Notamacropus eugenii: one gene and its partner. The protein of the gene in region 2 interacts with the protein of the main gene of each other region in a biochemical or structural test. Links are inferred from orthologs where the notes say so. Each region holds a gene or a part of one and is shown on either strand. Other genes may lie near its edges. The genes, in order: TAX1BP1 and MYO6.

Region 1 (15,883 bases), on a different chromosome or scaffold from region 2:
CATTTCATAGAGAATCCTCTTTTTGCGTTGTGCTGTGTGTACGGAAAGGCTTTACTTTTGCTCTACAGGCTAGAAATCCCATTACCTAGGAGCCCCTGAGGAACGTAGAACAGGATGGTCACTGCCAGTTAAAGATTCTAGAGCTTTTGGCAGTGTGATGAAGCCTATGGATCTTTTTGTAAAATAATGTTCTTATATGCATAAAATAAAATATACAGGATGACAAAGACCAGTAATACTGAATTGCAATTATCGAAATTCGTTCTTGAAGAGGACCATCAAAAAGCAAGTTCTCAAGCCACCAAATTAGAACCAGAATTCCCACTCCCAAGGCAGATCAGCAAATGTTTTGCAATTTTCAGTCTCACTGAGTTGCAAAGAGAAAACAAATGCTCTAACTCCAGAAGAGAAATGACTGAAATAATTCGTGATCACTTTATTCTTATCTGTCTTAAGCAAGAAATTACAGTTACAGAGAAGTAATGGTGGGGTTCTTTGATGAAAAATTAAAATAGGTTTAATTTAATGATGATTGTCTCAAGATAACCTTTAAACCATTATCCAACCACCTGCCTAAATCCTCTATGGAAGATTTGCTCAAGTATTCTTACCTTAAAAATGCCAACCCAATCTTTTGGGTGTGGATGGATATACTGGGTCAAAGTATAATGACATTCCAGGTGGGCATTTGGAAGATAACTCTTGGCCACATTTTGAAAGATGACATGTGCAAAGTTGGAAGTCTGAAGAGTGCTTGACAATGGGACTTCTTGAAAGGATGTCATGTTTATCTGTAAGAAGTTATCAAAAGAAATCTTAATAACTTCCTTGATTTTTGCCAATCTTAAGTAAAAAAGACTCATCTGTAAAAAAAAAAAAGCACATAAGCAGTGATAGGGGAAAACATCACAGAATGTCAGTGTTAGAAAAGACCTCTTAAGTCCACACTTTACCTGAAAAAAATCCTCCACAACACAGAAAAAGTAGTCATGAATGAATAACAAAGACTGAACAAAAAAGCCAGGCCAAACACTGAGAATGAAAAACAAAACAGTAAGATCCTTGCCCTCAAGGAGCTTACACAACACTTATGAAGGAAGGCCAGGGAGGAGGTGTTTACACAGGGAAATCAAGGGGAATGATTTTTAGAGCCATAGAGCAAATCTGCTGGATGACCTCTAAAGGGGAAACTACTTGCAGTCAAGCCAGCACATTCTAATTTTTGGACAAATGTTTTCCATGATCTCAAGGCCAAGTCTACTTCTTGGCAACTTCAACCTACTGCTTCTGGTTCTGTCTCCTAGAACCTAAGAGAATAAATCTAATCCCACAAACATTTATTACATGCCTATTATGTGCATCGGCCACCGTGATACATGCTGGGGACCCAAAGACAGAAATGAAATAATTCCTGCTCCCAAAGAGTTTACAGCCTATCAAGTGATAGAATGTAGAAGCTATCAGCACAGTCTAGTGGACAGTGCTCAGAAAATTAACAGCCATGAGACAGTCAAAGCTTTCTTGGCCGCCATTATTCCTCTGTAAAATGAAGGGCTTAGAGCAGACTGCCTCTAAGGTTCATCTGAGTTTTTACTTGGTGGCTTTCATTCATAGAGAAGTATGTACCAAAATACTGAGTGTAAATGTTGGTGCCTAAACACAGTCTTACATAGGAAACTGAGTTAGAAGGAGGGAAAAAGGGAGTACGTTTCAGACTGTGGGGTGGTCAGAGGAAATGCAAAGAGATGGAATATCATGGGTGAGAAATGAGAGAAAGCCAACTTGGCTAGCCCATTGAGAGTAAGAAGTCAAATAACAAATAATAAATAATGAGGCTAGAAAGATAGGTTGGGACCAAGTGCTGTAAAAGCCAACCAGGCTTGGAGTTAGAATGGGGCAAAGCGGTGGTCAGATTTAAACTTAAGGAAAATCACTTTGGCAGCTTTGTAGAGGACAGGATCAAGTGAGGAATCTCTCCTTCCCCATTCAGGGTAGCCCTTTTAACATATGCAACAATCATGTGGCTCTCAAATTTCCTCTTTAGGCTAAATAACACCACTTCCCAGTGGATCTGGAGGCCTTTCAGCCTCCTGGCTGCCCGCATGCATGCAATCTCTACTCTGGGTTCTGTATCAAGATATCTAACAACTGTAAAAAAGCAGACTAGGAATACATTAATTGGGAAAGAGTTGTTACCAGTATGACTCAGGAAGTTAATCAAAGGAAGAACTGGAGACAAAGTTCAAACAAACAGAATAAACATAAATTCCAGTGTGGAAGAACTCCCCAAAGTCTTGGCTTCCTGCGTCTGCTACAATCTAAAAGTACCCAAGCCCAGAGCCTCTGCTACTCTCTGGCTTCTGGTCCACAAACCATGGGTATGGTCCTCAGGCAGCCTAAGAAGGTGGAGTGGAGGGCAGACAGCCTCCACCTTAGCATCACTGGGCACAACTAATCATTGCCACTAGCGTTCCTCCATTTGTTCCAGGACTTCTGCTACCTCACGTGAGTAACGATTTTTATTTTGGTCTTTGGACTTCTGCTGTGGTTTCCTTGTTACAGAGAGCAAACTGCCACCTTCTTGGTAAAGTATAGTGAGAGACAGCTGCCTGAGGCCAGTGAGAGAGATGAAGCCGCTTGTCCCCTCTCTCCGCAACCAGAGAGAGACAGGCCTGAAACTCAGCTCTTCCTGCCTCTCTTCCAGCCCATGGAGGTGCTGCCATGCCTCCAAATAATGATTATGTTATCAGCTCAATGGGGTCTCCATGCTCCATAGCAATCCTTGAGTCCTTTCCTAACTGACTCTCACTCCCCAAGGGCTGGTCAAACAAAGCCTTTCTGAACTATCTATCAGTTCTAGCCCCTTTTCTCCACCCATCAAGCCCTCACACATCTCATCGTTTCTACAGCATAACCAAGCTCAGGGCCTCCAAATTCTTCCCTTTCCAAGATTTCCTCTACACAGGTGCCAAGATAACCTTCCTAAAGCACAAGGGTGCAATGGATTACTCCCTCCTATGATCAAGAATCTACAATGACTATTGTTTCTACAGGAAAATATCATAGGTTACAGTCTACTTTTCCAGTATTATTTCCTATTATCCCTTCCATGGATTCCACATTTAAACCACACATGCTTTATGGAAGTCCATCTCTGACTTTTTAAGCAGGGAACACACCCCTCCTCATCTATACCTCTTAGAATCCATAGGGCCACCTCCTACGGGAAACAAATTCATTAGTTGTTTTCTCCTTCCTCAAATTATCATGTGTGGATGTATCTGTTTAATAATAATAGCTACCATTTATACTGAGCTTACTACTGGCCAGGCTAGTGCCAATTTACAAATCTTATTTCATCTGATCCCCAACAGCCCTGGGAGGTGGTATTATCCCCACAGATAGGCAGAGAGAGATGAAGTGATTTATCAGGGTCACACAGTTAATAAAATGTCTGAGGCTCTATCTGAACTCTGGTTTTCCTGCCTCCAGGCCCAGCATTCTATCCACTGATATCCCTCCAGCTGATGTAAGTTTCCTGAAGGCAGAAATGGTTCTGTGCTTTTTCTATACCAAGTGTCTATCACAATGTACTGCCTGCATTGGCCTCTTGGTTAAGGTCCTCATCCCCTTGGATTCCTGCCTAATTGCACTGGACTCACTGTTCCCTTGAGCCAGCCCACTCCTTTCTGCTTCAATCCCATCCTGATTGGGACCATTCCTTTCTACCAAGAAAAAGTACTTAAGAGACTTCAAGGCTGTCATTCTTGGCTGCCTTGAGATAACTCTATCAGTAAGACTCCTCTAGTCTCATCACTGAGTCTTGTCCTCTCGTGATCTGCCCGCTCTCCAACACCAAGACCAGTCAGGACAGCACGATTAAAGTTTTTTCCTCATTTATAACAAAAATATGGAAATGAAAAAAGAAGTTAGGTTTGTCTTTCATGACAAATCCAATTTAAATCATTAGAAAGACTATTTAATCAGTGTTGTCTGGCAAAATGTATGCTTACCTTAACCTTGTCTGGATTGCTCAGATCTCAAATTAATGGAAATTGAATACAAAAGAAATGTCATTCAGGAAATGTCAAGGGCACAAAAATCAATAAATGTGACTATTAAAAATTCACAGAATGCTCAGACTCAAGGAGTAGGTGTCATTTAAGTTGAGTTTTGGTTAACTCATGAATGGTAAGTGAACTCTGCAAACAACTCAAAGTTTTTCACATTTTGCATTCTACATCTATGAGTGACAAATAACAATTTGGCTAATACAGATTTGCCCAAAAAAAGCAATTTACTATTTTTATCATGCTAAGTCTTCCACCTTCAACAGCTCTAACATTACATACCTAATATTCTTCATGATAATTCTCAGGCACTTTTTTTTAATCATTAAAGAAATAATCTATTTCTGGCACCGTAGTAATCGTCCTTGTTTCCCAAGTCAACGAACGTTTGTGGACCCAGGACTGCACTGAAACTCTACCCTGTAATTTACTAATTGCTGTCAGATACTTTATTTAGAAAGATACTTAAGTCAAAACCTTTCTAATGTGATGTTTCCTGACCTTTCAAATAACAAATACAGGTATTGAATGGCTTAAAAGTCATTAAAACCAAAATCTTAAAATGGTTACCAATTTCTATTATAAAAAATTAACTCCTTTTTTATAGAGATTAAAGCCTGTACAATTTCAAAATTTGCCACCAAAGTACATTATTCCACAATCTTCTGTGTGTAACTGAACATTTCAGAGAAAGAATTAAGTTCAGCTGAATTATTTAAACAGAGGATCTCAAACATTTGGATTGATTAGGAAACCTACCTAACCAGATATATTCTCAAACTGGTTACTCCAGCAACGCTGCCCAAGGGCAATGTTTACTCAAAGGGAATAGCAGCCAGAGAATATTTCAATTCCCACTTAAGACTAACTTTCTACTTCATCCTGCACAGTCCACCCAGTGGTCTTAAGGCTCTGGGAAGATGGAAAGTACTTCTTCATGAAACAGGCAGAAATAACTTTAAAATCAAAAGGCCTCACTGTGTGCAATTGGGGGTTGGCACAGTGCTGAGGACAAGCCCACAGATTTAATCCTTTTGGGGAGGGAGGGAAGGACACAACATCCTCCTTCCCAAACTCCAGTCAGTCAAATCTAATACATGTCAAATCTTGAAGACCTAAGCATAAAACTGAGAAAGTTCTTTTTCCTCCAACTTACACTATGCCTTTGACTTTATGGGCTGCTGCTTCCCAGAGATAACATAAGTGAAACAGCACTTTTCTTCTAACTTTTAGTCAAAGAGGCATTTATTAAGCACTGTCCAAAGCACTGGTGATACAAAGAGAAAATGAAAAATAATTTTAAAACATGGATTCATTCCCAACACCGAGGAGTGCTGTGTCATGGTCATTGTGCTTGTCTGAATTCTCACATGTCAACATTATAAAAAATAAAATTCAAAACAAAAATGTTTCCATGACTACACTGGAGGGGGGTTTCCCGTTGGAATATTGTCAAATATTCACAGAACTAATAGAATTATTCTCTAAATGGCAATACAAGTAACTTGCAATACATATCATAGGATGAAACTGGAGCTGATTAAAGCAGGGATAGGTCATGATTTTCTTCCCTTTCCTTCTATTTTAACAAATTTCCCATCTTCAAACCATCACAAATTAACAGCTAGATGACTCTGGCTCATGGAATGGAATAAAGAATCCCTATCAGTTCCCTCCAAATTCTGCTAACCTTGCTTTCACCTGGTCCCTCCTGTCCTCTACATGTGTAAATGGCTTCCAGGAGTCTGCAACTGCCTCAAATGCCCTCGCTTTCTCCTTTTCTTCCCCCAGAACCTGATGGAGTCTCCCACCGCCTTCACTTTGTTTGGAAACAGCACCATTCCCAGAGGAAACACAGCCCTGCCGCACTGGCAGAGAGAGAAGCCCTTCCCATTCACCACCCTCCACAGAAGGAAGGGCAAATAGGAGCCACAACGGCGACTTCAGGCTTCAATCTCACTTTCTGCTACCAAGGGTCCAGGAATGGGAGACCAATTTAAAATGAGTGAAAACTGAGGAGTCAAAACCAGGAGTTACACACAATCACAATCACACAATAGTCCATTTAAACATTTCATGTTGCCTATCCAAAATCTCCAGTTAAGTCCTCAGCCTGCCAAACCCAATTTCTTGGGATCCTTACAGGTCACCTAGGAACTCTACATCAGGAAGTCTTTGAACTAAATTCTTAATCTTAATTCTAATTTATTCTAAATTCTAAAGGCAATAATTGCATTGTACATTTCTGTATAGAGTCCTATATACAGCTCCCTATGTGAACACAGTGGGAGCTCGGTAAGTATGATTCCCTACACTTCTCTAGGCAGATTTTACGGTCCCATTCAGACAAAGGATTGTTGGTTATCACATTTCCTTCCAGAATGTTAACAATAACCAATCTTTCTATATACCACACATATGATCTCATTCGACCTTCACAAGAACCTGTTACGGTCAGTGCTATTATTTTACAAAGGAAAAAAGTGCAGCTGAGAGCCTGGTTAGAGCCTTGGTCAGACGAGCACAGCCAGCAATGTCTGAGGCCGGCTGACGGTTACAAGCTCCACGGCACTACCCATTCCACTTTAACGAACTGAATGCAGCAGGGGCAATCCTTAGGAAAAGATCCGTAAATGATGTCAGCGGTCATAAGCTTCTTTCCAATCACCTTATGTAATTTATCAGCTCTAAATAAGGATGACACCAAGGAGGATGGATTGTGATTTTATTATTGAAATAAAGAACTTCGACTCCCTCTCCTAAAGCAGGTCAGCGTCTTCTTCGACTTCTGGTGTCAGAGAAGGGCCAGTCCTCGTCTGAGGCAGGAGTTGAACCCAGATCTTCCTGCCTCTGAGAATCCAGCCAATAAATGAGCCGGCACACTAAATGTTACCACTTTCAGAGAAAGTAGAGAAATAGGCTACATCTCTATCCATTTTTTTGGAGGTAATGGAGGTAAGTGACTTGCCCAGGGGGTCACACAGGGTCAAATATCTGAGACCCGACTTGAACTCAGGTCCTCCGGACTCCAGGGCCAGTGGACCTCTATCCATTTTTAAAACTACGGACAGCCTCCCACTGCATTTTCATTGCATATTCCACCTACAGACACCTGAATTAGTCCGCTCCCTCCCGCATAAAACCCTTCAGACAGAGGCCACCTAAACACCTGAAGAGCCCTTCAGAGCAGCACCCTCCTTCACTGTTTTAGAGATACTTCGAACACGTCACCCTCCCAGAGGGCTGCCCAGCCCAGGGTCAGCCCGGAGGCTACCGTCTGCGTCAGCTGAGAGGGACCCGGGGCGCGCTTGGTCCAGTAATTCGGCTGCAGGAAGGGGAAAGCGCACTTTTACGGGGCCTTCCGTAACCTCCCCCCCGCGCCTGGCTGGCATCAAGCCCTTAAGATCGCCGCTCCGAGGGCCGCCCCCCGCCCCAGGCTCTCGCAGCCCCCCTTAACTTCCCGGACGTTTCTCAAAAGCCCAAGTTCCGACTCCACTTGGTCTCCGGCCCCAAGTCGGACGCGCGGGGTCAGGCTCTGCCCAACACCTCCGCTGTCCGGTGAGGTCAAAGGGCACTGAACCCCCCAGCCCGCGCACTGCCTGGGGGAGGCAGAACGGCACTGGCCCATCCCGGAAGTACGCGGGATCCCTCCCCGCCCGCAGGCCCCGCCCCTCCCCGCCCCATACACAAACACGGGCTCCCGAGCGCCCCGCGCTCCCCTCCCCCTCCCGACACCCCGAGGACCTGGGCCGCTCCCCGCCCGCCCCCCCTCAGCTCCAGGGCCCAGCTCCTCCTTCTTTACGGTGCCGCCCCTGGTTCTGCCTCCGGGCCCGAGTGGGCCAACCGACCAGCACTCATTGGGCGCTTAGAGTATACGCGTGGAGGCTACCGAGATTCTAGTCCCGGCGTCTCCTCTTCTGGGAAGCTCTCACTTCACGAAGGGGAAACTGAGGCAGAGAGCGCCCGCCCCCCTGCCCCCTGGGCCCGAGTCCCTGCGGGCACGTCACAATCCCGCCCGGCCTCCGCCCGCCAGCCCCGGCTTCTTACCCCAGGCTGGCCCGGAGAGGCCTCTGCGAAGGCTGGGCAGCGTCACCAGGGCCTCCCGCTCAGAATGGCCATCAGCCACCGGGCGCCTTCCGCCACAAACAGGCGGACGAACGGCCGGACCTACGGACCGAGGAGGAGGAGCGGGGAAAGGAGGGACGGAGGGAGGGGCGAGCCAATCGCGGCCGTGAGCGTCACTTCCGTCCTTCCGGGAGGCTCGCTTCCGCCGCGTGCGTGCAGCCTCGTTCCGGGGCAGGAAGGGGCGCGCCGGGGGCGGGGCGCCAGGTCTGCGCAGGCGCGACGACCCCGGGCTTGAACCCGCCACTCCCCTCGGCCAGGGGCTGGAGTCCCGCCCCCTGCGCCTTCCCATTCGGAGCCCGGGACGGAGAGGGACATGTCAGTACCCGAGTCTCCGTGTCTGGGTTCGAATCCTGCCTCCCCGAGGGCAGGCAGGGCTGCCTGGCTTGCGTCACAGCGCAGTCAGGTTTGCAGAGCACGTCTCATAACAGGCCCGGGAGGGGGAGTTGGGGGGGCTGTTATCGCCCCCATTTCACAGATCAGGGAATTGAGGCCCACACTGCTACAGCTTCGAGGCACGATCTGAACCCAGGGCTTCTGGGGCTCGCGGATGAAGGGGAAGGACTGTCTCCTCCCCTCCCGCCTGCGACATCCCCTTCCCCAGCGGAGGGTCAGCCCCAACCGGGGAGGAACTTTGCCGAGGTCTCTGTCCTCTCTGATGCCCAGCACGGAGCTGGCGGACGGTGGAGTCGCGTAGTAACCACTAAATAAATAATGGGAGCCCGAGGACCTGGGTTCGAATCCTGCCTGACCCGCATGGCCGGGCGGCCGTCTGCCATCCGTGCCGTTGTCTTGGGTGCCTCCAAAAGCTTCGGGCCCCCACGGCTCGGATCCAACCCTCGTCTACAGGACATCAGTCAAACTTCATTTGTACAGAAAGCCACTGTCGTGGGCACCCCTTGCTTACTGGTCCAGTAAGCCTTCCTGCCTCTCCCTCCAGTGGTTTCTGTGTGTCTACAGACACGTGTGCAAATGACATACACGTACACAAATACGTATATGAGGATAAAGGCAGCTTAGTACTTACATCCATAGAGATACTACACGTATAGTGGTTACTGTAACTAGTATAGTGATAACTGTAACTAGAAATAGAAACTGACATTAGTAAGCACTTTGCTGGGGATGGTTTAATCTCCATCTGAAGATCTTGACCTTTTAGAAAGTGAAGAAACTTTAGATCTAGTGACATCAGCCCCAGGGTTTTTCCTGGAGTTTTTCTTGCTTTGCATTTTTTAGCACAGTCAACAATTAGGGCAATTAGCTTCCATTCTTATCTAAAAGAAATCCAGGGGTTCAGCCAACCCCACATATGCTAATACATTCCATTTTAATGATGCCCGCCTTGACCAAGCACCTAGAAGGTTTATGGTAGTATCAGTCAGCAAGATATACTGAGTGTTCAGTGTGATGCAAGATACTAGAAAGAATTTAAAAAGAAATACCACATCCGGCAATCTGTGAGCTCAAGTCCAGTAATAATGTGGACATGACATCTGTGCATAAAATGTTAACTACCAAGAAAAAGTTATCAAAGCTTTGTATTTTTCATTTCATTTGCTTTTCATGATGGCCCTGATATTATTGAATATTCCTATTTTGCAGATGGGAAACCTGGAAGTTACCTGCCCATGACCACACAGCTACAAGTATCAGAAACAAGATTTAGGCTGCTGAGGCCAAGTCCACCGAAATGCCACCATTACCATACTGCCTTTTAGTATAGTAGATATCTTGGGAGTCTGGAGAAAGGAGTCGCCACTACAGAACAGAATGGGGGAGGGAGGCTTAGTAGAAGAGGAATAGTAAGTGCTTGATTAAGTGATCCTGGAAGGTTGAACTCCACTGTGTGAGCAGATGGAAATAACCCATCTCTCCTCTGCTCAGGAGTCAGGAGCTGCAAAGGATGCAGAAATACCAGATACGGTCTCTGCCTAACACACATAAAACAATCATTACCAAACAGGCAGCATACCACTAAGCTTAAGGTTTTGTAGCACACAACTCTGCTGTGAGAGAAGAGAGGAGAGATTATTGTCATGACTTCATGGGAGATCAGACACCAAAACAGATCTTGAAGATCACGTGGGATTTCAATGGCTAGAGAGCAAGGCAGAAGGAATGATTCTAAGCCAGAGATACAATAGGAAGGAAAGCCTTCCTTATACTTTTCAAAATGGGAATGAACTTGGCATTTTCTGGAGACATTGAGAATAATAACCTAAATACAAGTTAGGGATTAATATAAAATAAGGTTAGAAATAGGGGCGAACCATGTTATTCAAGACCTTGAAAACCAAGCAACAGTTTGTACTAGGGACTTATGGAAAGATACTTGTTGTCCAAAGAGGATCAAAATGACATCACTATGCTAGAGTCAAGTTACAATGTGTCCAACTGTAGCTGATCAGACCAACATGAGCTCAGAATGTTCTGCCGCAGGTCAGGCACAAATAGTCTTTGTGAACATTTGGGGTAAAATGAGATTGAGAAGGGGACCTTGAACTACTTGGGTAGGAAGGGCATTCAAACCTATTCAGAGTCCAGTCAGTTCTGATCTTCTGAGAGGAAGGGGGGATACAATTGTGGGAGGAGCGAAAGATAAATTTAGAAAAAAGAAAGTTATGCCTAGCTTACAGAAAGCCTTGAGTATCAGACCAAGGCGGGATATAGAGCCAATGAGGTTTTTTGAACAGGAAAGTAGCATGAAGAAAGATTGAATAAGAAAGGGAAATTGGAGGCAGAGAAAATATTTTGTCTTTGCATTCCGTGTGGCTGGCATAATGAAACTGGAGGCTGTGGAAATAGAGGCCTGAACCACAGTGAGGGCAATTGATGGGGTTCAGACTCTGAGAACTTCCTTGAACTCCCCTGGAATCTCCTCACTTAACCTGGCTTTTCATACTCAGATTGAGCTCTCCTAGTATCTCCTCACTTAACCTGGCTTTTCGTACTCAAATCTGCGGCCATTGTCTGTTACCTCTTGATTGTCCCACCTGCTTCCCACCTAGGCGCCCCCTAGTCTGATATCTCCTGATAGCCTCCAGCTGTTTCCAGCCTTTGACCCTCCTTGGATTCCCTCCTTGAACTTCTCCTCAAGGCCCTTCCTAAACCCCTCCTCCCATCACCCTGGACACCCCCCCCCCCCCCAGATCCCTCCTATACTCTTTTCTGTGTTTAGTTCCATCTCACCTCCATGAAGGCACTCAGATGCAATCCAGCTCAGACTCTGTCTAGCTGGGATTCTGTCCGGCCCGCTTGTGAATGCAAGCGTTACAAGTGCTTAGGCTCCTTAAGAGGCAACCCAAGATGGCAAATCTTTAATAAACTTTGTTTTCTTTGGCTTTAAGAAGACTTGAGTCGAATTCATTCTAGCACGACCCAGACTGTCAATATTTTGGGGTCCCCATCACCCCTCAACCTTGTCACACTGACTGGATGCGGAGATCGGACATTAGAAGCCAAGACCTTAAGTCAAAGATGGCATAACTAAGAAAATGCTGATGGCAAACATGGGGCGAGACAAAATGGGAAGACATGTGGCGTGGAGAGGAGCAACAGAAAATTTGTCTTGTGGCGTGCTAGTGATGTTCAGTCCACCAAGTTAGTCCAGCAGTATATTTACTTTGGACAAGTGTTGCAAATGAGTCATGATGATTTGAGATCAGATCTAAATAGGAAGCTGAGTGCTTGCATTTGGGAAGTGGTGTAGAATTTTCTGGGATCACAAAGTCCCTTAGTGCCATCTTTTAACCCCAGTATTCTTCTAGGAATACCATATGGCAACAAACCAAGGGGTACCTTCAAAGAATCAAAATGGTAGATGGTCCAAGAGTCAGTGGAGAGGTGCTTGGTAGTGTCAGGAGCCTGTAACCTATGCCAGGATACAGGAAATAGGGTAAAAGCATCCTCACAAACATGTTCAGTAAAGGACATGTATGGGGAAAGGAATGAAGAGGTAATAGATGCAAGGCCCTGGGTTGCACTAGAATCCAGGAAAGATCCAAAGACCCAGAACAAGGACTCTGGCATGTAGATTGTGTGAAGACTTACAGGGTACAAGTTCAGAAAATACACAAAAAGGGAAGAAGGCATAAGCTGCCATCCCCACTGGCCCTGGGACTCACCCTTGTTGTACTCACATCCATCAGAGTATTAAAGAAGCTTTTCAGTAACTTTAGAGATGATGGTATGGAATAATAGAGGGCCTGGTAGTGTTAGTCAGGAAAGAACTGAGTTCAAATCTCAATTTGACTGTTTTGTAGTGGTAGGAATGTGGACAAGTCTCTAAGCCTCAGTTTTTTCATGTGTAAAGAAGATATAAAAATCTTTCTACCTCAAGATATATATATTTTATATATTTATATAAATAATAATAATAAATAATTTTACATAGATATAGATATATTTGTATATATATCTTCCACCTCAAGAGATTATTGTGAGGATCAAATGAAATGTGTTACTTGTGGTAAAATTACACAGGGCACATGTCAATCTTAAAGCACTGTATAATATCAGTTATTTATTTCCAGAATACTTAAGTGTTATAATTGGGGCTATAGTCTCAACCCATTAGCTAAGAACCTAGAATGAAATGACTGGACAAAGATCAGATAAACCATGTCATCAAGATTCCCAGCACACTGAGCAAATTCCTAAAATGCAGAGGAACATGGTTCTGTTACACCTGATAATGTGTAGGAGAAAAGGTCCAAGAGTCTGAGTCAGGGAAAGTTTGAATCAAAACCAGTCATACTCATGCTCCTTACTGGGTCAAGTCACCTAACCAATCACCCTCAGTTGTCTCATCCAGAAAATGGGCATAAATCTCACTTAAGACTATTAACCTTACCTAGCTATTGTTAAGGAATAACTCAGATAGGAAGAAAAGAGAGAGAGAGAGAGAGAGAGAGAGAGAGAGTGTGTGTGTGTGTGTGTGTGTGTGTGTGTGTGTGTGTGTGTGTGTGTGTATCCTTGTAGCCATATAGGCTACAAATATAAATGTAGGCTATTCTCTTTGTTATACAGCAAAGTTGCTTTTTTTTCCTTCTTCTAAATTTAAGGTTTGAATTAAATTCCAATAGAAATGGAATGTGATTAACCAACTTTTCATGGTGTTCTAAATATAGCACCCATCTATTTATACAATTTCCAAATATATACTAATGGCTCTAGTTTAATTGGTTTATTAAAAGTTTCTTAAAATTTTTGTAAGCAAATTAAGTTGCAGGCCAGGATCAATTACTAAGGCTGTGTCTATTCTAAGTAAAGCAAAAATTGGTGGTTAATTTAGTAAAACAATAGTGGTCAAAAATAAAACCGACCCTAGCCTGATTTAGCACATGTGGGTTTGCTATTTATGCTGATGAAGTTAACTGGCTTAATGCCAGATCTTTATTTCACTTCAGAATCACCATCTTCATTTTTGTTCTCTAAGAATTCTCATGGAAAAAGTAACCAGGTTTCATTCTAGAGTGTGAAAGAGCACCCTCCAATGTATAATGAGCAGCTCCGTTAAATTTCCGGACTCCAGAGATAGAAGTACAACCATCACTGCCCTCAGGGAGCAGTCTAGGGAGGACACAGTTTGTACCTATATTTAGGTAGATTCCAAGAGACACAAGGTAGTTGTTTGAGGTATTTTTATGGGCGTGAGTTTAGAGAAGGGATGGCACTAGCAGCTGGGGGCTTCAGGGAAGACTTCCTGGAGAAAATGGCCCTAGGCGTGAACCTTGAAGGCAGAGGTGAGGAGGAAGTAGAGTCCAGACCTGTGGAGCAGCCCCCGTTTTGAGAAAAGTAATGCAGACCTGTGCTTGGAACAGAGTAGACTTCCCACGTTGCTACGGCTTTCTCTCTCTTTCTGCACACTTTGGATTTTCTGTTCTGGCACTTAATTGGAGCTGATGAAGAAACCCATTTAAAGGTTGCCGGAGCTGCCCATACTCCTAAAATTGTCTCCATGAGATTGACGAAATTGGTAACTTTGTTCACATGGGTGTGGGTGAGAGCAGACATGTTCATTCTGCTTGGATATAGGAGAATTTTTTGTCTATGGCAGAAAGAGTGGGCCTAAGGTGTGAGACTTGGCAGCCTCACAGAGTACAATGGGCATAAGAAAGCACACATTGGAATGACTGTTATTTCACAGTAGGATCCCTGTATTGTCAAGGGGCAAAGGAATGTTTCAATACAAATAAAATGTAGGCTTTCACTGGGGTCCTTCTCTCAAGGGTCCTATAAATACCCTCATTCTGAGGGAGTGTTTCATTTCTCACTTAGGGGACTCAGTTCATCTCTTGACACCCAGTATGGAGGGAAAAGTAAATGCCAACAGCCACAAACACTACACTCCCAACAGGAGAGACCAAGGAATGATTTGGATTGAGGATTTGCTGTTTGAATGTATAGCTCTTCCAAAAGACTCCTCCTACTCCCTCCCACACACCAACATATCTTTTAACAAAACCTCAAGAATCTGAATGACACCAAAACATTGACCATGGTAGAGATGAACAGAATAGATAGACGGACTCGGTCCCATTCTCTATCCTGAATTCCATTCCCACACCTCCACATCTCCAAGTGGATGTCTTGAAATCAGTGTGTACAATGTGTGCACAGAGCTTACCTTCCTCCCCCATTCCCATGCCTTCCCTTCCAGACATTCTCTTTCTGTTGAAGGCATTACCATCTCTCCATCCCAAGTTTACCAACTTGGCATCCCTCTACTCACACTTCATCACATCCAGTCAGTTGCCAAGCCTAGTCCATTCCACACCCACAACATATCTCTATCCCTTTTTCTCTACTCCCTGAGCCATCCCTCTCTCTAGTCAGGTCCTCATGGCCTCTTGTTTAGACTTTGGCCAAAGCCCCTAATTAGACTCCAAATTTTCCAATTACCTCCCTCTCCAATCTGTTCTCCACACGCCTGCCAAAGGAAAATGCTTTCCCTGCTATAGAACTTTCACAACTTTTGCTTTCTACTCAGCAAATCAGCCAAAGCAAGGAAAAAAGTGGATCTAGTTGATGTTGGACAGTTGTAGGAGGCATCCACTAATTCATCTTGGTCTCTGTGACATGGTCCATGGGACTCATTCTTTTAGATGAAAACTTCTTGGTTGGTTTTATCAAACTATTTTTTCTGTTTATTTTTTACCTTTGTGATAAGAAGAGGTTTCTTAGTTGGTTGTTGTCCTTCGTCTTCGAAGGGGACCAAAATGACATCACCATTGTAAAGTGAAATTTCAGTGTGTCAGACTGTGGCTGATCAGACCAATACAAGCTTGGAACGCTCTACCACAGGTTGGGCACAGATAGGCCCTGTGAATATTTGGGGTGATTATCCCAAATTTGAGCATCCTGTGTTTACTTTGTGCTGTCCCAATTCTGCTTTGCTCATAGAGCACAGCACCTTTTGGATGTGGGCACGCCATGCTGAGTAGTCCTGTGTCGATGTCTCCCATGTTGCACAGTCAAATCCAAAGTTCTTGAGAGAGATCTTAAGTGTCCTTGTATTGTTTCTTTTGGCCACCATGTGATTGCCTGTCCCATGCAAGTTCTCCATAAAATAGTCTTTTTGGCAAGCATACATTTTGCATTCAAACAATGTGGCCAGCCCATCAGAGTTGCACTCTCTGAAGCATAGTTTGAATACTTGGCAGTTCAGCTCGAGCAAGGACTTCAGT
Region 2 (15,966 bases):
TCCAAATATATAAATCAAAGAAGAGATTTAATGTTCATTCAGAAACACTCTGGTGATGATCTATCACTTTGTACTGGTTTAACCTACCTAAAAAATGGAATAAATGACTTAACAAGATTTCTTCCAAATTTAATATTTTCTCTATCTTAATACTCTTTGGATTAAGATGTCCTATTAAATATGGCAATTATTTAAAAGAAGGAAAAGGGACTCACTTGTAAAGCAGACTCTAAAAGCTGAGGTCTACACTGAATTTATGAGATTCCAAGAATACTCTTAGAATCTAAGGCCTTAGCAAAATTGTACCATTTGTTTTTAATGTCCTTCTAATGCTCTTTGAACCCCCTAAGCCTCCTGACCTACCCAGAAGAACTCCATGTTCCTTTCCTTTATCCCTAGTCTGTATCAAAATCTATCTGTCCTGTGTCCCATTTTCACAGAGCCCTATTCTGACAATGTGATAATGAATGATTCTAGCTGCTACCTCTACAAGGTAATACATCTATATTGTAACAAAGGTGATTCTAATAGCCGGTATTTCAGGCATATTGAAAGCCAACAGTGGAAATATATGGATCAGGCAAGCTTTTCAGAGTCCAAGCTCACCTTCAAATCACTAAGTACTTGTGACACAGTCTAATTCACTGACTGGTAGTTCAGCCCTACTTAATAATAATTATTACTTGAGGTATATAATTAAAGAACTTCAAAACAACAATAAAATGTTATTTAGGATTGGAAATATGTAGACACACCTTCACCTTATTCATTACTGACATCTAAATATAAAGACAAAAATATAATTATAATCAACAAATAAATATTTTTCAAAAAATGTCACTTTTTAATGCCACATATCACAGTCATAAAATGACTTTTTTAAAATTAAATTTTAAAGTGATGCACTCCCAAAAATAGTCATCAATTTCCACCCAAAAAAATAAAAGAAGTCATCAATTTCACCAAGAAAGCTCATATGCTAATGATAAATTATCTAGTACCTCAACTATTGCTCTCCAATAAAAATAAAAATTTTTAAATTATATAAACTTCTAGCTGCTAGATACAACTGCCAGAAGAATGTTAATGTCCTGATATTCAAATATTCCTAATTCAATATAACCAAAAGAAAACAAACACATAGTTTACCATAAGGCAATGTTAGGAGGTTAACACTAGTAAGTCCGGACAACCTTCAGTGAGAGAAGTGCCCACACCACTATCCGAAAACATAAGCAACTTCAGAATTTAAATTCTATCTAACACTTATCTGTTTACAGTTATGCCTTTTCTCTCTCAACTATATTACAAATTCCTCAAAGGTTTACATGTCTTTGAAACCCTCACATTTGATCTAAGACATGCTCTCAAAGTACAACTGTTCTACTCTTAAACTTGGTAGTCAAAGACCCCAGGATAGATGCCCAGTCTAATTTCTGTCCTTACTTCTCACTATTCCCTTGCACATACTCTGTGCTCCAGTCAAACTAGCCTACTCACTATTCCTCAAACCTACCATCCTTGCCCATGTTCCTCCTCGTACCTGGAATTCTTTCACCTACCCACATGTCAAAAATGTTGCCCAATCTGCAAATTCCACCTCAAAACCCACCTCCTTCACAAAACTTTTCCTGATCCTCTCAGGTACATAAATGAAGGAGTAAAAAGAATAAGCAATTCATTCTCCTTTATTGCTACCTCTATCATGGCTCTTGTCATACTCTTTGTACCATAGTTACCTTACCCTGGCCTTTATACTCACCCAACTAGATTATACCCTGCTTGAGGACAGAGATCACCTTTCTCTTCTTTGAATCCTCTACATGTGTCATTAATACTTGCTGAATGACCATAGATAGAGAGAAACTTGACCGTGGGTATAGGAAACTCCCAAATTTCCCAAATGACAAATTTGTACTACCAAGACAGGTCAGTACCTTCTTCTCTGCACCTTATAATCTTTGAACAAAGATTCTTAATCTTTTTTTTGTATCATGGATCTCCTGGGCAGTCTGATGAAGTCTATAGATCACTTCTGAGAATAATGTTTTAAAATGCTTCAAAGAAAATACTCAGGATAAAAAAGAAACCAAAGGTAGTGAAAATTAAAATGCATTTTTTTCCAATCCAAATTCATGGACCCCTTGAAATTTAGCTACAGATCCCATGGAAATCCCTGAACCCCAGGGTAAGAAGTTCTGTGTTAAGAAGTTGCCTGGACATTCAGAAATGTGACAAAGTCATGTGATAGAAACAGGCTAGGAACTCCCATCTCCTTTTGAAAGAGGCAGAAATTGAGTTGATTATGGGAACTACCTGTGTCTGAAAAGCACATGTGACCATTCACCAGTTAGGGGAGAAAGAAGAAAATATTCAGAAATTAGGGTGTTATAAAAGCTCAGAATGCCAATAAAATCTTTTAAACAGATGAAGATGATATTGTTGTTGTTACCCGGAACCCTGAGAGGTTAAGTGTTGTGGCTGGGGCGCAGGCAGCCAGTATGTGTCCATCAGCACTTGAACTCTTGTCTTCCTGGCTATGAGGCCACTTTCAATACATTATACCAAGTGTACATCTACAATACTTATGACCTACTTTAAACTCCTAGCCCAATAAAAATTCCTGTCACATGCAACACCTTACTTTACAAACTTGTAACACTACCCATCAAGAGAGCACATACAGCATATACAAAAGATTTCTATGGTTTGCTAACGCAACGTTTTACTAACGCCTTCCTTTGTACATTAATTAGTGGCATCATATGAGTATACAAAGAAGGAATGCACTACAGCGTTTTGGTTTCACTTGAGACATATTCTTTCCACATAACAAATAACTTCCTCTCTGGTACTACAACATTTCTGAAGAAGGCAGATGGGTCAGATGGGTTCTTCTAGTTATGTTTCTTGTGGTTTGGTATTATTATGTGTATACTTTTGACTTGCTACATTTCCCTAAGCCACAACTTATGTAACTGTTATTAAAAATTGTTGTTTACTTAAGTTTGGCACCTAGAAAATTGTGTAGTTACTGCTGAAAATTATTTTAAATGGATTTTTTATTTAAATCTGTTTGAATACTCCAACAGCAGAATTCAGAAGTTCATTTCAACTCCAGTTCAATTATCTAGTGCAAAGATAAGGAGTTGTAGTGCTGATAATACAAAAATAATTAAGCTTGAGAACGCATTTCTTATTTGTACTAGTACATTTGTACTACATAACAGAAATAAAAATGTGCATTTATATTTATATATGGTTTAAGAATTCACAATACTTTAAACAAAACAACAAAACTCCCCTATTTTAAAAAAAAAAAAAAGGCAAACCAGTTTGCCTCCTCTCTACTCTTTTGCCTGATTCTACCTACCTCTTATTTTCATTCAATAACTCAGATGCAAAAGATGCTGGTCCCCAAAGCAACTGCATGGTCCTTTCTGCACACTAGCTAGCTTGTATCTTCCTAAAGACAGGAAAAGACATTATTTTCGACTAAAGAATTTTCCCTTTCAGTTCCTGCTTATCTAAGATAAGCAGAGGAAAAGGGGGATGGAGAGAGCTTAATAAAGCAGTGCTGTTGTTCAACAACAATTAATCAGTGCAAGTAGCAGTATAAAAACTGTTTGAAAATAAACTCTCTTTGAAAGAGAAAAGTTGGCTGAATAGGACTAAGAAGGATACTTCACTCTTATGGGCAAAATATTTTCTCTTAAGGAAAATAAAACAGTATGTGCTAACTAAAAGCAAGTTACTATTCATTTTAGCTACAGTGAAAACTGATAGCTTTACTCATCTGCGTAAACCAGGGATCAGGTTACAGCAAACAACATATCTAATTCTATGTTCTATAATCAATACACTCCATTTTAGTTAAACAATAATAATTTGTGAAAATGTGGCAACAGATTACACTTGATACTGTTTAGTATTCACTTGTTATGAAAGAAAAAAACACAAAGGAATTGAGTTCATCAGAAGCTCCTATCTATTACTATGTACCCATATCAAATCTCCAATTACCCTAATACAATACCACTTCCTCAGGAAATTTAAACAATTCCCTCTGCTGATGGGTTGATTCAAGGTATAACCACATTGTTTCAAGTATCATAATTCAATTAAACCACAATTTACCAAATGCTAGTCATTTTTTAAAGAAATTTTAATCAAGTCATTTATGGATATGAAATGCAAATAAGCAATTTCCAAGTCACCAAGTTTCAAATTTTCCATTTGAGACAGGCATGCTCCATAATTCAAGATTCTCTTAAATATAAAAAGTAGTTAACCAACTAGATAACAATTTTAAGCGTTTCAGATACTTGTACTTATTCAAATCAGTCAAAATCTTTTTTTAAAAGTTGAAGGAAATGGCAATCCAGCTCCCCAATAAAGCAAAATTGTCTAAACAATGGATGACATAATATTCAATACACATTAAGCACATTCACAACAGGATGAAATTTCAGTGGCTCTCTCACTTCCTGACTAATGTTCTTTACAAACTTTATCACTGAAACTGTTTTTTATACTTTAGGTCAACTTTTGATAAGATACCGAAATAACCCAATGAAATAACTGAAATAAAAATAATATGGTTTGGGGGGGGTTATTGCAGAAGAAATATTTTTTGTTATTGTTTTTATATTTTCTTTTTTATTATAATGAACTTGACAAATATCAATGAACGTAATTATTTCCATACATGAATACAAATAATAGGAAAACATTATGATAGAAAACCACAAAGATCCACTGTATAATAGCTTTAAGAATATAATAAATTTAACAGTATAGTTCTGAAACTATCTTGCTCTTGTCTTTCTGAACTTGCCTCTGCTCTTTTCAATGTATTTTTTAAATGTTTCATTGATACTGTTTTCCTTCTTTTTTCTGATATCTCTATCAATACTCCCTCCCTTTCACCCACCAAAAAAAGATTACTTATTTTTAACAGTTTCTGAAACTGTACTTGAAGAAAAGGTTCAAAGAACAAAAAGATTTTATATAAAATTCAGTATTCAAATTTACAAAAGGTTAAAGGGACCCTTGTTTATCATTCTACCTATAAACTTCTGTGTAACATCTAAAATAAGTTTAGTACTTGAAAAAGTAAATTTACAAAAAACAAGGATTAACAGCTTTTATTGTTTCTTCCTCTGAGAGTGGCCCACCACATGGTATTTATATAGCTTGACAAATGAAAGATGACAATTTTGCTGAACAAGTCCTAATCATCAAGCTGTAGCTGTAGCACAAGGAAGACATCTCTTTAAATTCAGTTAATTTGTGCAAAAAAGCCCTCTGCTTTGCTGTTAACCTTTGTACCCTGACCACTACCAACCCAAGTTCAAGATCCACATTTTATGGCAAGTGTAATTTCTGTTAAACCTTGAGATCATTTTTATTCAACAAGTTATGCTAAAATCTTGTTTCCTCCAGAAGAAAAAAAAATCCCCAATAAACTCTGACTAGATATATATCTGTATCACAAAATTGTAACACCTTCAAAAACTTATCAAAGTTTCAGTAATATTCCTCACTAATACTTATGGGTTAGTATTTAAATACTGCCTCCATAACATGTATTATGAGAACACTAATGGATGTAAAATTCAGTATATTCTCATGAGCAGTTGGCTAACATCAGGAAAAAGGACAGTTATAAAACTACAACTTCCCTGAAATCAAAATCACAGCAACAGAAGGCATTTTTTTCCCTTGTAGGAGTATAAAGTTTCTTTAAAATTAATTTCTATTATTTTTAGAACAATGTGAAAAAATGTTTTGGTTTTTTAAATGCTTAACCTAAGCACTTACACAATTATATTATTATTAATGCACTGATTCTTTCATTTATATAACAGATTTACTTAGATGTTTCCATTTTTTTTAAGTCATTTAATCATAGAGGGAGATCTTGGAAGAGTTAAGAAAATGAAGCTCTGGCCATTCATTATATAGATGGGAAACTATGGGTGTGGAAAAAGGAATAGGCCTGCACAGCCTAGGTAAATGTGAGCTAGTTTTGCTCAACTGCATTTTTTTTTTAATTTCCAAGAAGGAATGAATGGATAGGTGGCTGGCAGGGGAATAATATACTCAGAAATGAATGGGATGTAAAAACAAAAGGCACCCATTTTTCAAAAAGATGTTTATTCTAAAAAAAAAAAAAATTAAAGCTATCTTTGTACCACAAATAAAAGATTACTGTCAGTGTGTTCCCTCGGAGATTCTATCTCCAGTTTATCCGGTCCCTATCTCGTTTGCACATAAGTGGGAGCTCCTTGAGAGCAGGGGCTGTTTTTGCCCTTTTCTAGTCCCCCGCACTTAAGCACAGCACCTGGCATGCAGTAGGCGCTTAATAAGAAGTAAACGCCTGTTGCCTTGGCTTGATTCCTGCTGCATTAGAGCAAGGTCGTTTTCTTAATGATAATCCAGAAGGAATTCATTAAGTGCTTACTAACCAGCTCCTAGAGAAAAGTTTTCATTTTTTTCCTCCCCAACGGTGCCAGCCTCTTACAGAGAGCGTCAGGGGCAGACACGGCAGGTGGTTCCCGCAGGAGCGGCCAGGAGCCTCCCAGGCTCCGTCTCCTTCGCCACCTGGCCGGTCCAGAGGCCGGCCGAACCCGCAGCTCCGAGCGAGCCGGCACGGCTGCCCTGCGCCCCGGCCCAGCCCGGCCCCTCTCTCCTCCGGAGGTCGGGGAACGGGGGAGAAAGGGGCCGGCCGGGACCCCTCGCCTCTCCCCAGTAAGACCCTCACTCCCCCACAGCCCCCTGCAGATGCAGATGTGCCGCTGGCCGGACTCCCGGGCAGGGGCAGGCAGGGAGGCCCCCGAGCCTCTCGGGCCGCCGGGGCACGCAGCCGCCCCCCGGGGTGTGGACACTCCCTCCTCCCTCACTCACCTGGAAGGGGAGGCAGGTGAGCCGCGGCGGCGGCTGCGGGCGGGGTGGCCCCGGGCCGAGGCGGCCGGGAGAGGGAAAAGAGGGAAGAGAAAAGGGCTGCAGGGACCGAGCGGCTGCCCAGCGGGAAGGAGGACAGGGCGCTGGCGCCGGGCTCCTGGCGGTGACGGCGGCGGCAGCGGCTCCCGGTCCTGCTCCACTTCCTGCTCCCAGCGCAGCTGAGCCCCGTCTCCGCCTTCCCTTCCCTCCCTCCGCCCGCCGCGCCGAGCAGAGTCCGAGGGAGGAACTCGGCTGCGCCTCACGTCACCCACTCGGGGAGCCCGAGAAGGCGGAGGCGGGGGCGCCGGCGCCGCGGGCTAGGGGCGGGATGAGGGGCGCGCGCCGCTCCCAGGGAGGGGGGGGCAAGGGAGGCGCGCGCCCGCCCCCTCCCAGCCCGCGCCACCGCGCGCGCCCGCGCCGCCACACACCCTGGCTCCCCCTTCAGTCTCCCGTCCCGCGGCTCCGCGCCCGCATCTCTCCACCTCTGTCCTGCCCACTCCAGCGCTCGGTCCGACAGATCGGCCCCGAACGGCTGTGCGCGGGAGGGGGAAGGGCTACCAGGCCGGGGCGGGGGGGGGGGGGGGGGGGTCGCCCCTCTTTCACGGTCCTCGGCGGGGGCCAAAAGGGAGTGTCATAGGATCGCACATTAGGAGCCGGAAGGGACTTCAGCGGTTATTCAATCCCGTCGCCCTCATTTTACGGACGAAGAAACTGGGGCCCTGGGAGATTAAATGACTTGCCCAGAGTCTCACCAGTGACCTGTCTGCTTTCATAGGAGCAAGTGTCAAAGCCCGAAACGGAACCCAAGTCTTCAGACAATACTTCTCCCGGGGGGGGGGGGGGGGGGGGGGGGCGTGAGGGGGGGGGGGCGGCACGGGGAGGGAGGAAGGGTAGAGGGAGAGGGTGGGGGGGGCGGGGGAGAGAAACTGACAGATCCAGTCTGCGTTTCCTGCGGTGGAAAACCTTCCTCCACACTTGATTGAGTTTCCAGCATCAAGAAAGTAAGTGTCCACCAACTCTAAAACTCTACGTACTTAAAGAAAGAAGCCAGTGTTTCTGGGAAAGAAACCAAAAATGTTGTGGGAAAGGGGAGGGAGGCTTAAAGTATCCCGTCACAGTAATTAAGTTCTGTAACTGACCAGTTTGGGTTTTTTGTTTGTCTTTCTTCTAGCGTGGAGAGTCCATTGAATACGAAGTCTGAGAGAGGAGAAGAGGAGGCTGCTCCTGAAGTGTATTAGCTGCTCCACTGTCTAATTTATCTAGAACATCTAGAAACACACACACGCTCGCACACTTAGATACAATGTATCTGTATTTGAAATCCTACTTTTGTTGGATTTTTATACGAAGCCTACTTCCAAATTTATTTGTCTCTATAGGAGGCAGAGGGTAAGAATGTTTCATTTCTATTTGTGCTCACGCCCCTCCCCTAAAAAAAAAGGCAGCTTGAACTTTAAAAAGCGTTATCCTACTTTTAGTTTGTCTTCATTTTCCATAGTTGATTTGTTTGAAAATAATTTTAAAATCTGAATAGGTAGAAAGGGCTATTCAGACAGGCATTGCTTGATGAGTCTTTTGTCAGAGGTAGTAGCACAATGGAAAGAACAAGGAACATGAAATGAGATCTTCATTAACTGTATGGTCTTGGTCAAGCCATTCATCTGCTCAGCCTCAGTTGTTTTACCTGTAAAATGGAGATTCTGATACCAGCGTTGCTTCACAGGCTTGTTGTGGGGAGCACATAATTTATAGGAAAGAACTTTTAACTTGTACTATATAAACGTAGCTCTTATTATTATGGTTCTTCTGAAGTAATAAATTTTCAGTTTGGAGAAAATTAAATTCATCCAAGATGCTGAACATTTTTATGAAAAAAAAAGGAATAAATTTCATTTGAAAAGTAGATTTGTTTCCCAGTATATCAAAGTAGCCACTTTAAAAGTTCAGAAAATCCTTGATAACGTATAGACTTTAGGGAGCAACCGCCACAATGAATTACGAAGAATGTACTGGGAGAAGGAGGAAAGAGGAAGAGAAACCAAGAAAGGAAACAATTTGCTGGAACCACAGAAATCTCAAGCTAGCTAGACAGGAAGTAAATGTTAAATAAAGGTACCAAGCAGAAGGAGTAGTGAGAAAAAAACAAATATTAAAGTATTGCTATGGCATCTTGTGTCTTCCCTTTTTTGAGTTTAGAATTGTATATATATCATTCAACTTAAAAGGTGCCTGGAAACCATTAGAAACTAATACATCTTAAGAAGTATAGGGTAGTATATCATATGACTATGATTGACAGCAAAAGTAAAAAAGGAATGTGTTACATATTTCAGTCTCAGTTCCTTCTCTAGTTAAGCATGATTTCCTAGCTATCTGTTCTTCCAAAAAATACTCCTAAATTTTGTTCTTTTTCTGTTTTTTTCTTCCAAAAAACAGAAATACTTCCCTTATTTTACAAACTGAAAGAAGCAAATTTTCCTCTTCCTTTGGGATATTCTAGTCCTTTCCACAAGTAACATGTAATATATCATCCAAAGAATCTTGAGTTTTCTCTAGCTGTAAACTTCAAAGATCTTTAGTTTGACTGTGATAGTCTTACACAGCACTAGTATAGCATTTGTATCCACAAAGTCTCAAATAAACTGGAGAAACATTTATGGAGTGACTTGGACAAGAATCACACAAGATGATAACAGACAATAACCATTTATAATGTACCTAATGCGTGCCCAACACTATACTAAGTATACTAAGTAGGAATACAAAGAAAAGCAAAAGATGAACCAATTTTCAAAAAATTCACATTAATGAGGAGACAATAGACAAACAAATAGGTACAAATGGGCTATTTATAGGATAAATTGGAGATAAGATAACAGGTATTAAAGGGGATTGGGAAAGGCTTCTTGTAGAAGATAGGATTTTAGCAGGTACTTAAAGAAAGTCAGGAAAGTTAAGAGGTAGAAATAAGAAGGGACAGGATTCTAGGCATGGGAGACAGCCAGCGAAAAATCAGAGTCAATATAGGATGGAGTGTGTACAGTAAGGAGCAGCATTCTTGAGCACAGTGAGTCCATGGGGTTAAAGCGTAAAGAGAGTGGAAAGAGGGGGGCAGGATGGAAAAGGCTTGGAATGCCAAAAGGAAGATTTTATATGATAGGGAACTGCTGGATTTAACTGAGTGGGGGGTGACAGGGTAGGAACAGAACTTTAAGATCACTTTGACAGATGAGTAGAGGCTCCATCAATCAGTCAATAATGGGCCAAAGTGGAAAGACAATCGTGAGTTGGAACATGAGGTGTAGAGGAGAGAAGGAATCATATATTAGACATGTTAAGAAGATTAAATCAACAGGACATAGCAACGAATAAGATATAGGTAGGGGGAGGTGCAGAGGAGGGATGCCATGAAAGTCAAGAATTGAAAATGATAACTAGTTTGCAAGCCTGATTGACTATAAGGATTGTAACATTACTATCAATAATAACATTGACAATAATAGGGAAGTTTGGGAGAAGGGACAACTTGGAGAAAACAATAATGAGTTCTGATTTGTACGTGTTAAGTTTAAGATGTCTATGAAACACAGTTCAAGATGTCCGGTTAGAGATGTGAGACTGAAGCCAGCAGAGAGTTAGAGCTGGATAAAGTAGATCTGAGAATCATCAGCAAAGAGAATGCATGAGACCTGATGAAAACACTAAGTGAAATAATATAGAGGGAGAAGAGAAGAAGGTCCAGGACAGAGCCCTGTGGGGCACCCACATATAGTGGGAGTAACCAATTAGCAAAGGAGCAGTCAGATAGATAGGAGAATCAGAAGAAAGCAGCGTCACAAAAATCTCGAGAAATGAGAATACTAAGGAGAAGAGTGTAATCCATAATGTAAAAGTCTGCAGAAGAGTCAATAATGAAGAAGATGGAAAAAAGGCCAGTAAATTTGGCAATTAAGAAATCATTGATCAGAGAGAGAAATTTGGAGAGAGAGAAATTTTAGTTGAGTGATTAGGTCAGAAACCAACTTTCAGAGTTAAGAAGAGAGAGAGAGGAAAGGAAGTGGAGGCACCCATCATGGACTACCTTCTTAAGGTGTTTAGCCATAAATAGATGGAGTTATATGGGACAATAGCTAGTCCGGGTAGAGGGATCAAGATTTTTTTGAAGTTTGAGGACAGATGTGCAAGTTTGTAGGCAGAAAAGAAGCAGTGAGTAGACCTGAAGAGATTGAAGATGACAGCATGGATAATGAAAAGCAATCTGCTGAAGATGAGAAGGAACAGATAGATAGATGTCCATGGGTTGGGACTGATTCATAGGGGGACAAGTCCTCTAAAATAAGAAATTATTTTATTAATCCCATGGATAATCTACTATACTGTAATTAATTAATCCTAGAGAGTTTTTAGAAAAAGAGTAAAGCACAAGAAAACACTCTGACAGTAAGAATTTCATTAAAAAAAAAAACAGCTTCTAAGGTAGAACTTAGAGGTACTTTCTACATCTACAATGCTGCATTATGATTACTAGAACTTAGTCATTTGCAAATTCCTCAATCATTAACAAATATATTCACTTCTGTACTTACTGTGTCAAATTTATTGGATTAGTAAGATTTTCAGCAACAAAAATGAAATCAAAATAAAATTTCTACTGAAGTCCTAGTTAACCAGAAAACTCACCATTTTCCTGAATCTTCTAGTTACTTGGGATTCTACTGTGGTTTCCTTCATAGGGACAGATTGCATAAATCATGATATGCCAATTTACTGCCGAATGACCCCTGGAGGAAGTTACACAATTATACTGACCTGTATCTACTACAAATCTGTGTTATCTAATCTCAACTGGATCCCCATTGCTCCCGAGTCAATTCTTTTACTTTTTCCTAATTGTCTAATGAACTTCTCACACAGATGTCTAAACCTCTTCTCTCTTCAAACTACCTGTCTGAAGAACAAAAGACCTTGTCACAGCTCACTGAGAAAATGAAGCCTTTTCTCACCTCATATCCCTTCAGACTCAGTCCCTATTTCAGCTTCTTTTGTTCCAGTAGTCTCTGAGGAAGTAGCCCTTCTGGCTAACTCCAACCTTCTACTTGTGTCCTTTACCCCATCCCCTCCCATCTCTTCCTGGAATTTGCCCATTGTAATCATTCCCTAGCTTTCTGATCTTCAATTCCTCCTCCACCACTTCCTCCCTGTTGCCTCTAAACATGCTCAGATCTCCCTTATTCTAAAAATAATAATAATAATAATTAATTAATTTTGCTTGATTCCACCCTCACTTCAGATGACGATGATGATGATAATGATAACCAGAGAGAGCTAGAGAGAGCCAGAGAAAGAGAATCTACCCTTTTTACAAACCAACTCCAAGGAACCCCATAAAGTCTAGATAACTCTTTCCAAGGTTACTAACATCTTTTAAATGTTTTAAATGTTAATCCAAATGACTTTTTTTCAGCCCTTTTTTTCTTAATTTACTTGTAGCATTTGATGTGGTTGACCACTCCCTCCTCCTGTATACTTTTCTCCCTGGCTTTTCATGATACTCTTCTCTGTTTTGTTTGCTAGATTGTCATCCTTGTCCTCGCTTCTCCCTCTCCTCAATGCCTGGGTGAACCACATAATTCTAATCTAAACCTTCCTTTCACTCTACAATCTGTCTTGATGATTCCATCAACCTTGATCATCACCTCTATGCAGGTGACTCCCAGATTTATATATCCAGCCCCAATCTCTCTCCAGAGTTCCAGCCCCATATCACCAAATGGATATCTTTACCTTAATGTCCTGTGTATTTTGAACTCAACAAGTCAAAAATGGAATTAATGATTTCTCCCTAAACCCATCCTTCTCCCACATACTTTTTTCCTGCTAAAATTACCACTATCATTCCAGAAACACAAGTTAGCAACACAACATCTCTCTCATCTGTTCTCTTTTCTCTGTTCCCACTGAGGCTCTCCTCATCTCTCACCTGGTTATTGAAATAATCTCTTAATTCATCTTCCTGCATTGAACCTCTCTACACTCCAAATCATCCTCCACAAAGCTGTCAAACTGATATTCCTGTAGCACAGGTTCTGACTATATCACTCTTGTCCTCATGGAGCTTTAGTAGTTATTATTGCCTCAAAGATAAAATGTAGACATAACAAATATAATGAATTCCTGTTAGGCATTTAAAACTATTTACAGACTAATTTCATGTTACTCCTCCTCACGAACCTTATGTTTCAGCTAAGCTGGCCTTCTGTTTCCTGTTCGCTCCAACGACCCTCCTCAACCCTCTTCTCATTGATAGAGGAGCTTCACCATATACAAGACCCTCATGTCACTTTTGGTCACATCAATTTCTGGCCAATTTACTGTTCATTCTCTTTTCCCTGTGTTGGGAATATTCTTTCTCTAACTCTTGTTATAATGATGATGATGATAATAATGATGCTGATGATGATCAAAACTAGCATTTATATAGCATTGTAAGATTTGCAGAGCATTTCACAGGTATTATTTCATTGAATTCTCACAACAACCCTGAAAGGTAGTTGCTACTATTACTACCATTTTACAGATGAAAAAACCAAGACTAAAAAAAAAAAAAAGTTAAGTAACCTGCCTAGGATCCCAGGTAATAAGTGTGCAAGACAGAATTTGAACTCAGGTCTTCTTGACTCCAACACTAATTCTCTATCCACTAACTATGCCTAATTTATAACACCTTGTTGGAGTAATTAGCTTGGTTTAAGCTAGCAGACAATACAATAACCCCTTAATGAAGTTCCCTCCTCCTAGGTTTTAGGAAGTTTGAACAAAAAAGTTTTTAGTTCAGTCACAATTTCTGAGTCCTCAGGTAGGAATCTCTGTCTCCTTTCAAGGCTCATGTCAGGTACCACCTCCTACACAAGATCTCTTTTCACCCATCCTACAAATTGTGGATGCCCTACCTGTCACTTAAACTAAGATTTTGGGGAGAGTCTGTATATACAAAATGAAATGAGCCTTGAAGGGAGGTAAAGATTCCCAACTTGGGGCTCAGAATGATGGTGACTAAACTCGTAACTTTTTGTTTAGAATAAACTATTAAAATTTTAACGATTAAAGTTTAAAATGCACAGAGACTTTTAGGACACTTTGTATTTAGTGCAATGGGGTCTGGTTTATGTACTAAATATATAAAATATAATTTCCCCTAATGGAAACACCAGAGACTTTGCTTCTTCGAGAATTGTAGTGATAGGCAATGAGGTGGTTCAGGGGATAGAGCACCAGACATGGAGTCGGCAAGACCTGAGTTCAAAAATGGCATTAGATACTAGCTATGTGACCCTGGATGAGTCTCTTAACCTCTGCATACCTCAGTTTCCTCATCTGTAAAATGAGAATAATAGTAGCAACCACTCCCAAGTTTGTTTTGAATATCAAATGAGATAATAATTGTAAAGTTATAACACAGTGCTTTTTACATAGTCAGTGCTATATAAAATGTCAGCTATTATTATTATACATAGATGTAATGGGTATATCTTAGAAAGTCTGTGGATAGACGTTATATAACTGGTTTCTATTAGCTAACCACATGATGAATTCGGCTCTTTGATTGTCTGCATAAATGGAACTGGGGACATTTTCAAAAATGACTGAGATTAAACCTAGTTCATCTTGCCTCATTCTCTTAATTTTTCCCTCACTTATCCTCTAGTCTCCTTGTTCCTTCATTAAAGGGTATTACTCCCAGGAGTACTGATTTCTCTTCTCCATGGACAGTAAGAGCACTAGAGCACTATACACCAGATCTATGCAGATTATAGATTATAAATTCCCCAGGTACTTGGACATGGTGGGGGCAATGGGGTGCTGAGTGAGTTGATTAGTGACTAACAAATAGCTTACTTTGCTATTAGTTTATTGAATTGTTACCTCGTTGTATTTCTAGACCAGTGGTGTCAACTTCATATGGAAAGGATCCACATGGGCATGTTATTGACACCACAACTTAACATTATGTTAAAGTGAATTTTTATTTATTTTATTAAACATTTTAATCTGCCTTACTGGTACTCTGGAGATTGACACCTCTGTCCTAGCTGAAATTGCTTTATCTTATGCATAATTCTTATTTTGAAGAGGTATAGGAGATTGTGAGGATCAGAGAAAATGTTTAGTCTTCCATCTTGTTGGTCATGTCATCCAGAAGTTGTCTCATTCTCATCAACTGGCTCTAGTGGTTTGACTCCTTCACTAAAAGTGTCAGGTCAGGGACTATACTGTTAAGGGAGAAAAAGGCCTTGGGATCTTCTCTCCATCAAGGCCCTAAGCCTGAGAAACACAACTTAGTCCTTGATGTATCCCCAAGGTGTTAAAAATATTTCTAAAACTGTTCTTGCTACAACTTTGAAGTAAATATCCATTTGTAAAAGCTAATTGATGGTAAGTGGTTAAATGAAATTGAGACTCTACTCACTGACTACTAACAGGGTGGAGAACACAGACCTAATCCCATGGCAGGAGAAAAGAGACCCACCTCTGTCTCCCCAGTCAACTCAGGGTTCATTAGAACTGTGAGGGGCATATGTAGCTAGTTGCCTCTAGGATAGAAGGACAGAGAATATTCACGATATTTGTATTTATTTACATTATACAAGTTATAAACCTCAGTAGAATGTAAACTATTGGAAGACAGAAAATGATTTGCTTTTGTCTTTGTATTTATATCACTTAGCATAACATCCGGTGCATAGAAGAGGTTGAATACTTGTTGAAATGACTTGAGATCAAAGCAGCAAAACAAATGGAGTTAAACTAAACATCTAGAATTATTATAAACTCTATAAATTTTTTACATTACTATATGTCTTTGTAACTTAATATCTGTGTAAACACAACATATATTGGTAGCAAAAGCCACGAATAAAACTTTTTGATTAAAATAATTGTTGAACATATCTTCTGAATGATGTTGTTAAACAGAAAGAGTTAGAGATATGTGGACTCCACTCCTTAAAGAGAGCAATATTT

Evidence for each region.
Region 1: the proteins of MYO6 (region 2) and TAX1BP1 form a complex in vitro, tested with the Homo sapiens proteins (5 studies listed by BioGRID, with this or other methods). The link is inferred for Notamacropus eugenii from reciprocal best matches to the Homo sapiens genes MYO6 and TAX1BP1.

Annotation. Positions count from the first base shown.
Region 1 is NC_092874.1:18,737,380-18,753,262, reverse strand, and holds the start of TAX1BP1 (tax1-binding protein 1), read right to left. Parts: upstream 8,398-15,883; 5' UTR 8,118-8,397; intron 792-8,117; 5' UTR 786-791; coding exon 612-785; intron 1-611.
Region 2 is NC_092873.1:145,786,233-145,802,198, reverse strand, and holds the start of MYO6 (unconventional myosin-VI), read right to left. Parts: upstream 7,307-15,966; 5' UTR 6,910-7,306; intron 1-6,909. UniProt on the Homo sapiens protein: Myosins are actin-based motor molecules with ATPase activity. Unconventional myosins serve in intracellular movements. Myosin 6 is a reverse-direction motor protein that moves towards the minus-end of actin filaments.